Linked DNA regions of Sus scrofa. The protein of the gene in region 3 interacts with the protein of the main gene of each other region in a biochemical or structural test. Links are inferred from orthologs where the notes say so. Each region holds a gene or a part of one and is shown on either strand. Other genes may lie near its edges.

Evidence for each region.
Region 1: the proteins of MAVS (region 3) and MAP1LC3A form a complex in vitro, tested with the Homo sapiens proteins (2 studies listed by BioGRID and IntAct, with this or other methods). The link is inferred for Sus scrofa from reciprocal best matches to the Homo sapiens genes MAVS and MAP1LC3A.
Region 2: of the proteins of MAVS (region 3) and TRIM31, one has a biochemical effect on the other in vitro, tested with the Homo sapiens proteins (2 studies listed by BioGRID). The link is inferred for Sus scrofa from reciprocal best matches to the Homo sapiens genes MAVS and TRIM31.

What each region holds. Positions count from the first base shown.
Region 1 is NC_010459.5:37,956,425-37,960,142, forward strand, and holds MAP1LC3A (microtubule-associated proteins 1A/1B light chain 3A), read left to right. Parts: upstream 1-1,405; 5' UTR 1,406-1,557; coding exon 1,558-1,597; intron 1,598-1,920; coding exon 1,921-1,976; intron 1,977-2,062; coding exon 2,063-2,169; intron 2,170-2,476; coding exon 2,477-2,639; 3' UTR 2,640-3,081; downstream 3,082-3,718. Other genes in the region: PIGU (phosphatidylinositol glycan anchor biosynthesis class U protein precursor), read right to left, coding at 3,600-3,713. UniProt on the Homo sapiens protein: Ubiquitin-like modifier involved in formation of autophagosomal vacuoles (autophagosomes). While LC3s are involved in elongation of the phagophore membrane, the GABARAP/GATE-16 subfamily is essential for a later stage in autophagosome maturation.
Region 2 is NC_010449.5:22,678,425-22,682,170, reverse strand, and holds the start of TRIM31 (E3 ubiquitin-protein ligase TRIM31), read left to right. Parts: upstream 1-939; 5' UTR 940-1,137; coding exon 1,138-1,554; intron 1,555-2,720; coding exon 2,721-2,816; intron 2,817-3,746.
Region 3 is NC_010459.5:31,866,921-31,870,666, reverse strand, and holds the start of MAVS (mitochondrial antiviral-signaling protein), read left to right. Parts: upstream 1-1,393; 5' UTR 1,394-1,515; intron 1,516-3,746.

The DNA.
Region 1 (3,718 bases), about 6.1 Mb from region 3:
TTGATTTCCTTAGGTTTTAAATGTCCTCTTGTAAACAGCAGAGCTGCATTTTATTTTTCTTGGCCAATTTGTTCATCTGTTTTAACAGGTGAATGTAAAACATTTAATACCTCTGGTTTTGTACCATTTATATACCATTCTTTTCACTTTGCTTTCCCTTTTCTCTTTTTCTATCTATTACATTTTTTTAATACCCTTTACTAAACTTTTCTCTTTTATGCATTGACATATACTTTCTATTCTTTGAGTGATCCCTCTGAAGTGTTTGAAATACATACTTGACTATACAAAGCCAGGTAATTATCAGTTAGCTTTATCCTCTTCCTCTCCAATAAATCAAGCTTCTTAAAACACTTGACCTCTGACCCCCCTCCCCAGTCCTACATGTGCCATGCTCCTGTGCTATGCTCCAGACTCATCAGCACCATTCTTGTTCCACAGCAGGTGTTTGTTTAGATCCACTTCCCATTTTACCAGCTTAGTAGCTTACCATTTTTCTAATTTCTTCTCCTTAGAGTTGGGCAAATTCACTACAGAGTGTCTAGATGAGTTTTTATTTATTCTGTTCTGGATGTTATATGAGGATCCTGGTTTTTAATCAATTTTGGAAGTTTTTCTCCAGAGCTTCACGGTCTTTTCTCTCCTTCTGGAATGCTAATTAGACCTGTGAATTCTCACTTTGCCATTTCTGTCACTTATTTTATACCATGTAAACATGGTTTGTTTTCCAGGTAATTGCTTCTGCTCTCTCATCCACTTCAGTGATTTTCTTTTTTGCTATATCTAACAGGGCTTGCTTGCCTCGTCCTTCTGAGACCTGAATTTCAGTAGCTGTTTTTCAATTCTAGAAATTCCTTCTAAAACCTCTAGGTTCCTTTTCAGTGTCTTGCTGTCTTCATGTTTTAATGCTCACCCAACCCCCCACAATGACCACTACCTTTTTCTTTCTCTAACCATATGCTCCAGGATGAAGACTTCTGGTTCACTGTTGTCATCCCCAATGCCTCATACGGTCCCTGGAACAGAAAAGACTCTGAGCGAGGGCTGTCTGACGCCTTGGTTACAGTGGAAACAGAAGGATGCTATGCCGCAGCCTGGCCAGCTCTCCCCACCGCCAGACCAGCCAGCCTGCTCCCTGGCCTTGCTGGCGTCCATTCTCCCCTCACCCTGGGCCTGGGGGAGCCCACCTCGCCTGCCCCTGCACAGGCCGTGACGTCACAGGACTGTGACGCTCACTGGGCGCCTCCCCTCCTTCGCAGTGTGGGGTTGGGGGTGGGGGCGGGAATGCAGGCTCCCTGCGCCGTGATGTCACGGGCCCGGGCGGGCAGATTTTGCGTCGGCCCAATGGGAACGGCGCGCTGGCCTCCCCTTTAAGGAATGTTATGACCTGACGTCACCCGGGCGAGTTACCTCCCCGAGCCGCCGCCGCTGGGCTCAGCGCGAGCCCCAGAGCCCTTGAGCGGGAGACGCGGAGCCCCCGGAGCCCCCAAACCACAGCCACCTCCCCGCCTCGCGCGACCGGGAGCCCCGGCCTGCGCGCTCCGCCGGGCCTGTGCGATGCCCTCAGACCGGCCTTTCAAGCAGCGGCGGAGCTTCGGTGAGGCCCGACTGGCGATCTGCGAGCGCTAGGGGTGGGGGCGTGGGGGGGTCGGGGGTGTTGGCAGATCTACTTGTCTGCCGCAGGTGACGTCAGCTTCATGACGTCAAGCTCGGGTTGGACCCCTGGGCTGGGAAGCAGGCTAGGGCCTGGGCCCGGGCCTCCGCCTCCCATCCCAGTGCTGTGCCCCGGCCCTGGCCCTACCTCCACCCGCCTGGGGCTTGGCGGGGGGCGGGGCGGGGTCGGGGGCCGCCCCTCGGGGACTAGTGGGGCGGAACCCAAGGAGAACCTCGGCTGGCCTCATCCCCGACTGCTGTCTGCAGCCGACCGCCGTAAGGAGGTGCAGCAGATCCGCGACCAGCACCCTAGCAAGATCCCGGTGAGTCCTACCGCATACCCCGCCCCCGTCCCCTGGCCCCAGGTCCAGCCTCCCGCTCACGCGTCCCCGCCCCACCTCACTCCCAGGTGATCATCGAGCGCTACAAGGGTGAGAAGCAGCTGCCAGTCCTGGACAAGACCAAGTTCCTGGTCCCAGACCATGTCAACATGAGCGAGTTGGTCAAGATCATCCGGTGCGCTGGCAGCAGCTGTCAGGAGGGGGACTTGGGTCCTGCTGGGATCAGGCATTGGTCTGGGTCCTTCTGAGAAGGAAGGGGTGGGGGTGGGACATGGGACGGGGTGCCGAAGCCCTCTTCTGGGGAGGTTGGGAACGGTCAAGGTCAGGCCTGGGATCAGTATCTTGTCAGAGGTGAGAGCTTCTAGAAGGGGCTGGGATGGGTGTGAGGGGGAGAATCAAAGTCAGGGTGGGTAGGGGGTGAGGGCTACACTCACCCAGCGGCCAGGCCCCTCACGTTTGGCTTGCCCTCCCGCCCACCTCAGGCGCCGCCTGCAGCTGAACCCCACGCAGGCCTTCTTCCTGCTGGTGAACCAGCACAGCATGGTGAGCGTGTCCACGCCCATCGCGGACATCTATGAGCAGGAGAAGGATGAGGATGGCTTCCTCTACATGGTCTACGCCTCCCAGGAAACCTTCGGCTTCTGAGCCAGCAGTAGGGGGTGTTGGCTGGGAGTCGGGGGCCCTGTCAGGCTCTGCCCAGGGAGCTCCTGGCACTGGAACTAAGCTGTCTCTGCCCCTGCCCCTGGTGGGTTGGACAGGGATGCTGCCACCCAGCCAGAGGGCACCTATCACCCCTACTCTGCCCCTGGATGGATTCTGGCCCAGTCATATTAGGGTTGCCCCTCCGGGTGCTGGCTGGGAGGGGGAAGAGTGGGAAGCAGCCCCCAGCACCCCTGCCCTGTGTGGTTTGTCTTTTTTTTAGACCCCTGCCTGTCTGCCCACCTGTCCCTCCCCAACCTGAGGCGCTGCCCATGCCTGGATCTGCCCACCCCTGAAGGACTGGGTCCTGGCTCACCTGGTCTTGACATGGTGTATGGCTCTGTGGTCATTGTCCCTTTGCAGAATAAAGATTGCTCAGGCCTGCCTGGCCCTTTGCCTCCAGCTGCTTGGGGAGTGGGGAGGGCTGTGGGTGGGGCTGCCCCCACCGTTGTCCTCTCACTGGTGCACAGACTTGTGTGCTGTGGACTCAGGGCTCATTCAGGAAACCCACGCCTGTGTATAGTGCATCGTGGGGGTACTAGAGGCCAAGCCCACCTCTTCCACGAGGGCAGCATGGTTCCAGGTAGACGTTTTCATAACAAAAGAAACATTTATTAAGTAGCCACAGCCTAACAAACCCTGCTCACCTGCTTCTTCCCCTTTCCTGCTTGGGAGGGGCTCCTGGTGTGCAGAGCCACACAGTGGGGGCCAGGTGGAGACTCCTGGCTCCGCCCCACAGGCCTTGCTGCCAGCCTTGGCTCCTCACTGGTGCCAGATATTCATGACCCTGGACTCAAACCTCATCTGCCCCAGGGCTTGCCTGCTGGCAACGCTGGCTAGAGGGCTTGGCCCAGCTTCTGGGCCTTTCGCCCCCTGAGGTCCGTGCAGCCCTGTGCCCAGCCAGGCCTACTTGAGCACAAGCATGGCCTCCGTGCCGTCCTTGGCGGTCAGGTAGAGACCGTGTGTGAGGTAGTACTCCCGCCGCAGGAAGGCGTAGAAGTAATCAGAGATGAGCAGGATCTGGG
Region 2 (3,746 bases), on a different chromosome or scaffold from region 3:
CTCATGGAGACGCTAGAGATGGAAAACATTTGAGAAAAAACCCAAAGAGGACAGATTTGCTACAGGTGCTATGGGGAAGTAAAAGATCAGCCAGGATGGAGAACAGCCCTTTCAGAGAGGAAGTTCCTTGCTCCTCCCACTGTGCTAGGAATCCCCCCCCCAGCCCCGCCCCATGAGGGGAATGGTTGCTTTTCCTTATAAATAATGGGAAAGCCCCTGAGTGGGTGATTACATCTTCCACATTTGCACAAAACTCTTAAAAGGGTAGAGCCAAACTACAAGAGGCAGGGAATTACCCTCTTCCTTCCTTTCCATGTTTTTCCATGGTTCGGGCTCTGCATACAAGAGATGTTCAACGCATCACTGGTGACCTGCTGTGACCTTTCGGGAGGTGACTTCCAGCCCCTCTACTCCCTCCCTGAACAACTGCCAGTGGACTTTGGTGCCCTGGTCCTTCTGATCTCTGTTAATGGCCTCATAAACATATCTTTAATTAGTCCAAGGTTCAGGACAACTTGCCCCATTTTATAAGCAGGATAAATCCATTTACAATATCCATTTGTTCGCGAGAGGTAGTGAGGTAGCATTGCCCATCGGTTTTCTTCTTTATGATAGTCCCTACATTGGTTTTACTCTTTTCTTTTTGCCTTTTTTTTTTTCTGTTTATTTATTTATTTATTTTTTGCTTTTTAGGGCCACACCCGTGGCATAAATAAATTCCCAGGCTAGGGGTCGAATCGGAGGTCGAATCGGAGCTACAGCTGCCAGCCTACACCACAGCCACAGCAACGCAGGCTCCGAGCCATGTCTGTGAGCTACGCCACAACTCATGGCAATGCTGGATCCTTAACCCACTGAGTGAGGCCAGGGATAGAACCCGATCATGGATATGAGTTGTGTTCGCTAACCGCTGAGCCACGATGGGAACTCCTGGTTTTAATCTTTTCTATTATTCTTTTTTTTTTTTTTTAATCTTTTCTATTATTCCTTTTTTTTCTCTAGCACTTCTTTTCCTCCTTCCTGCTTCTCTGATGGACCCTTTGACCTTCATCTCCTCTGTTTCCTCCTTTTGTAGAACCAGTGTCCACAGCAGGATCCTAGACTCTCTGCAGACTTGACGCTGCCGTCGTCTCCATCATGGCTGGTCAGCAGTTTACCAACAAGCTTCAGGAGGAGGTGATCTGCCCCATCTGCATGGATATCCTGCAGGACCCTGCTACCATCGACTGTGGGCACAGTTTCTGCCTCCAATGCATCATGCGGAGCAGGGAAGGATTGGACAGCGTTATTAAATGTCCCCTCTGCAACAAAATTGTGAAGAGGGACACGATAAGGCCCAACTGGCTGTTGGTGAATCTGGTGGAGAAAATCCAAGCTATGGATCCCTCCGAGGAACAGCCAGAAGTGAAAGAGCTGAAGTGTCCGAAGCACGGGGAGAGGTTTCATTACTTCTGTGAGTCCGATGGGAAGGTCCTCTGTGTGGCGTGTTGTGGATCCAAGGACCACAAATTCCACAACACAATTTTGCTAGAAGAAGCTGCCCAGAGTTTTCAGGTAGGCATTTGGGGGTCCCTTCCCTGTTCCCCCACCACAGACCAGGAGTTCAGTGAGGGCCTGGAAACCGTCACCTCCTGCCTCTGGTTTGTACCGCATTGCTGCCATCTTGGCACTTGAGCAGACACTTCACGGTCAGGTCCGGTAGGTTCAAATGTCTGTGTGTGAAGAGCTGATGCCTGTTGAAGCCAAGGGGTAATGGAGAATGGAAAGAATGCAGGGATTTTGAGACAGAAGGTGTGGGTCCAGATTCAGACTCCTGAATTGACTCTGTGACCTTCAAGGAATTCCTTTACCTCTCTGTGCTTCGCCTTTCAAATGGGACAAACAAAATGTATTTTTAAAGAATTGTTGGTATGGGAGTTCCCACCATGGGTCAGTGGTTAACGAATCTGACTAGGAACCATGAGGTTGCGGGTTCGATCCCTGCCCTTGCTCAGTGGGTTAAGGTTCTGGCGTTGCCGTGAGCTGTGGTGTAGGTTGCAGACTCGGCTCGGATCCTGCGTTGGGTGGCTGTGGTGTAGGCTTGGCAGCTACAGCTCCAATTAGACTCCCAGCCTGGGAACCTCCATATGCCGCGGGTGCCGCCCTAGAAAAGGCAAAAAGACCAAAAAAAAAAAAGGAATTGTTGGTATGGCAAATGAGAGGTTTGTGGAAATGCTTCAGTAATCCCAAAGCACATCCAAATATTAGTCATTAATATATTAGTTATAATTTACTAGCACATTCCTTTCTAGTGCATCACTTAGGCTCCGACACTGCACCCCAGCCCCCAGTTTGAACAGCAAAGGTGGCTCTATTAATCTTTATACAAGGATAGAGTTCCCATTGTGGCTCAGTGGTTAATGAATCTGACTAGCATCCATGAGGACGCAGGTTCAATCTGGCCTTGCTCAGTGGGTTAAGGATCTGGCATTGGCGTGAGCTGTGGTGTAGGTTCAGATGTGGTTCAGATCCCGTGTTACTGTGGCTGTGACGTAGGCCGGCAGCTACAGCTCCAATTCGACCCCTAGCCTGGGAACCTCCATATGCTGCAGATGCAGCCTTAAAAAGCAAAAAAAAAAAAAAATCATTACACAAGGATGCACCCACCCTCCAGGGAGATCAGAGGGTGTCATGAGGCCAAGAAAACTCCAGGAATTGCCAAGATAACTCTCTCCCCACAGGGGCAGATTCAATCACAGGTGGAGGCCCTGCTGCAAAAGGAGAGGGCGATCGTTCAAATGAAGTTACAAGGTGACCAGAGGATCACTACCTTGATGGTAAGAAAAAAACTCAGGAGTTTCTGTCATGGCTCAGTGGAAATGAAAATGACTAGAATCCATGAGGATATGGATTCAATCCCTGGCCTCGCTCAGTGGGTTAGAAATCTGGCATTGCCATGAGCTGTGGTGTGGGTCACAGATGCGGCTCAGATCCTGCATTGCTGTGGCTGTGGTGTAGACTGGCAGCTCCAGCTCCTATTTGACCCCTAGCCTAGGAACCTCCATATGCTGTGGGTGCAGCCCCCAAAAGACAAAAAAGACAAAAAACTTTTAAAAAGAAAAAAAAGAAAATGAAGACATTGTAAACCCACCTAATTATCTTTACCTGTGTTGTGTGTGTGTGTGTGTGTGTGTGTGTGTGTGTGCTCACGCACGTGCAGAGGGAAAAAAAATCTGTGTGAAAGCCAATTATAAACTGAAAAGCCTTCTGGAAATGTGAGTACTAGATACCGAAGTATTAAGTGTTAGATATGTAGGTGCTATCAGACAAGAAACATAAACAAGTAACCCCAAACAAAAATGAAGCACATAGTAAGTGCTTTAAAAAATGCTGTTCTCGGGGAGTTCCTGTCATGGCTCAGTGGTTAACGAATCCAACTAGGAACCATGAGGTTGTGGGTTCAGTCCCTGGCCTCGATCACTGGGTTAAGGATCCGGCATTGCCGTGAGCTGTGGTGTGGGTCCCAGACGCTGCTCGGATCTGGTGTTGCTGTGGCTCTGGCGTAGGACGGTGGCTACAGTTCTGATTGGACCCCTAGCCTGGGAACCTCCATATGCCGAGGGAGTGGCCCTAGAAAAGGCAAAAAGACAAAAAAAAAAAAAATGTTGTTTTCTTCCCCTTTCCTTTTCTCCAGGTCTGTCATGCTGCTCAGGATAAACTTAATACAATGGAAACTGAGTAAAAAGGGGTAGAAGGAGCTTTGAGGC
Region 3 (3,746 bases):
TCTCTCCATTCTGTTTATGCACATTTGTTTCCAGAACTTGCATATTGTGAATAAAGCCACTATTGTGTGTGTTTCCAAGTGGACTCATAGGGTTTATATGTTTAATTTAAGGACTTCCAAGCATTTCATATGTTTAACTCATATGTTTAACTTAAGGACTGCCAAGCATTTCCCCAAATCTTTTAATCTCTCTCTCTCTCTTTTTTTTTTTTTGACTGCGCCTGCAGCATATGGAAGTTTCAAGGTCAGGGATCAAATACTACCTGCAGCTCGGACCTATGCCACAGCTGCTCACAAGGCTGGATCCTTAACCCACCACACCCACAACCCCCACCACAGCAAAGACACCTCTGGATCCTTAACCGGCTAAGCCACAGCCAGAACTCCTAATCTCTCTTTAAAACAGGAAAAAAAAGTAGTTCCCATCATGGCGCAGTGGTTAGCGAATCCGACTAGGAACCATGAGGTCGCGGGTTTGATCCCTGGCCTTGCTCAGTGGGTTAAGGATCTGGCGTTACCGTGAGCTGTGGTGTAGGTCGCAGACGTGGCTCAGATCCCGCGTTGCTGTGGCTCTGGTGTAGGCCAGCGGCTACAGCTCCGATTGGACCCCTAGACTGGGAAATCCATATGTCACGTGAGCGGCCCAAGAAATGGCAAAAAGACCAAAAAAAAAAAAAAACCAACCAACCAAACAAACAAAAAACAAAAACAGGAAAAAAAATAAACCTCTACTTTTTTTGGGAGAATATTTAATGGGCCCTAAGACTTTAAGTCTGTACCTGAAACAGTGGGCATTCAATAACTGCTGGCCTTTGCTGCCTCGGCAGAGCAGGCGGTTGGGGAAAACTGCGGTGAGGTACCAACCAGAATTCTTGAAAGGAGAGGGCGTTTCCACGCAGCACTCAGAGCCCACCCCCAGCGTGCCCAACCTTGTGAGACAAACTAGGCGCCCTGGCCCTTTCATACACCTATCCCCCCACCCCCGCACTCCAGATCGATCTTGCCTCCTCAGGCCCAGAACGTGTCGCCTGGCTGGGCACTTTTCATGACATCCGACGTTTATTGAGCACTGACTATGTGATAGGCCCTGGGTGAACGACCAAAAGACCCTCACCCCTCAAATTACTCAGCGTGAGGAATGGTAGCTTCGTGTGGGAAGCGTCGTGGACCAAGGCCGCCACAGTTTCGACTTGGTTTCTAACCAGACCCTGGACTTCCCCCTGGAAGTTGCTCGAGACAAACAAGAAAAGAAGGTCATCTGGTCATCTGCTCCTTTGCACTCCAAAAAGTACGAACCCAGGTCAGTCCCGAGCGCCCGTCCGGCGAGTCCAGGCCCCCAAACCACCACCGAGTACCCGCCCCCCGCCGCCCAGTGGCTCCCACTGGAGCCGAAACCCCGCCCCCGCCGTCTGGCCAATGGCCGTGCAGCTCCGGCCCCCACTCTCCTGTCCTGCTGGGGAGGGTTCCGGGCTATAGGCTACAGGAGGCAGGTTGCCTGGCCGTGGCTACCCCGAGGTAAGATCGCCGGCCCTGGAGCTCGGTCCTCTGGGCTCTGGGGCACGGACGCCTTTCGGGGAGGTAGCCCGCAGGGAGGGAGCTGAGTGGGAGTCGGAGTCCTTCGGGCCGCATGAGGCTTGGGGCGCCCGGCGGCCGAGAAGAGCGGATTCTTAGGCTCGTGGGGTTCGGGGCAGCGAGGGCTCCGCGCGCCGCAACCATCACTGAGGGCTTGGGAGGTGCGTGGCACCGGCGTCTGCTTGGATTGGAGACGAGGTTGGGCCGGAAGGAGACAGGCGCTGACTCCTGAGCCCCTTCCAGTCGCCCTCAGGTCCAGGGTGATCCCCAGGCGAGGCCTAGCCCGGGTGCGCTAATGTCTGGAGGCCGCGGCCGCGCTTGAGGGGTCGAGGACTGCCGCCGTCCCCTGGGTCCTGACTGTTCTCGGCGCTGACATCTGCTCAGAACAGCCCACCCGCCCTCTGAAGTCCTGGGTCTGGCCCAGGAATTATGGAATCCGAGCTGAGGCTGTGAGGCCGCGCCCCTTCCGGGAGGGTGGAATTTTCTTTCTGGAACGGACACACAGCCTCTGGTGCAGTCGGGGTAGAAACTCTCCTAGCCGCATCCATCAGGAGCACTCCGCCGCGCATCTTATCCGAGACCAGGAGGTGTCAGGAAAACAATGGAAAAAAATCAACATTCTTCGTTTGAAGGCTCAAAAACACCTGAAAGGACTTCTGAAAGGACCTGAGAACCCGGCTGCTGTAGTGGGCAGAGTTAGAAGGGCCTCAGATCTGTCCAAAAGATTCCATTCCCCACAAGAGCAGGGACCAAATTCTGCATTTTTCCCAGGCCACTTTCAGTCAGTCCTACACCTCCCCCACCCCCATCCCCAGCCAGGCAGTGACCTTGGGGTTTGAAGGCCTGGAGTCAAGTGAGTCTCGCTTGCTGCAGGGGTTTCTTTGCCCTGCACCGTGTATGATGAGTTTCAATTAGGCAACAAGTCCTGGGTTCAAATCCTGTTAGGCCACTGGTCAGCTGTGCAACGTGGCTTCATTTCTTAAGGGATTGTGGCAAGGATTAAATGAAAGAAATTTAGTATGTGCCTGCCAGTAGTGGACCCTTAATAAATGTGAACAGATATGGGGTTCCTTTCTTTTTGGTTGAACCAATTCATACCCCGATACCCCCAGACTCTGTGCCTCAGGGGCTGAGACTGGGATGCAGAAGAATGTTTCACCTGCCTCTCTCCTGATACCTCTCTGTATCCCACAGGAGGGAAGGGGAAATGGGTATATTTGCCCCCACAGTGTTCTTTGCTCATTTCCTAAAGGCTCAGGGGACCCCTGCCCCACCTCCCTGATCCTCTTGACCTCTGTCTTTTGTACTTGCCTCACGAGGGAAGTTGCACCTGGTGTTGGCAAAGCAAGTTGCGCAGTGTGTGGCTATGAGGCCGGTGGCAGCAGGTAGGCAGGACTGCTGCCCCATTTCACATGTGGTGGGGGACTGGCAGCCTCAGCAGCTTTACATTACTCTCTGCTCTGCAGCACTGTCTCCTAGAGCTCCCACCCAAGCTTGACACCCATGTTTCTACTCTAGCCTGCCCCCTCTACTCTGCCCCCTTCCCTCCCGGAAAAGCCCCTTGGATATCCAATAGCATCTCCAACTTCACTTGTTCAGATGGAGCCCTGGAGCCCCATCTGCACCACTGCTTCTCCCGCAGATTCTCTGGCTTGCTAAGTGGCACCCTCCATCCACCCAGTGCCGAAGGTGTCATTCCAGATCCTTCTCTCTCCTTCATCTCCTGTATCCACAAAATACCAGGAATCCGGCCACCCCTCACCATCTTCATGGTTACCATCCTGGTGTACCCCTCATGGGGTCCCTGCTGTGGCCTCCTGACATATCTCCCTGCTTCCATCCTGCCCCCTCCACAGTACAGGGTCCTTACAATCACTGCAGAGGTATATATATATATTTTTTTAAATTTTTTCTTCTCTTTAGGGCCTCACTCGCGGCATACGGGGATTCCCAGGCTAGGGGTCCCATCGGAGCTACAGCTGCTGGCCTACACCAGAGCCACAGCAACACAGGATCTGAGCCACGTCTGTGAACTACACCACAGCTCATGGCAACACCAGATCCGTAACCCACTGAGTGAGGCCAGGGATCAAACCTGCATCCTCATGGATGCTAGTTGGGGTTGTTAACTGCTGAGCCATGATGGGAACTCCACCACAGAGATCTTTAACATA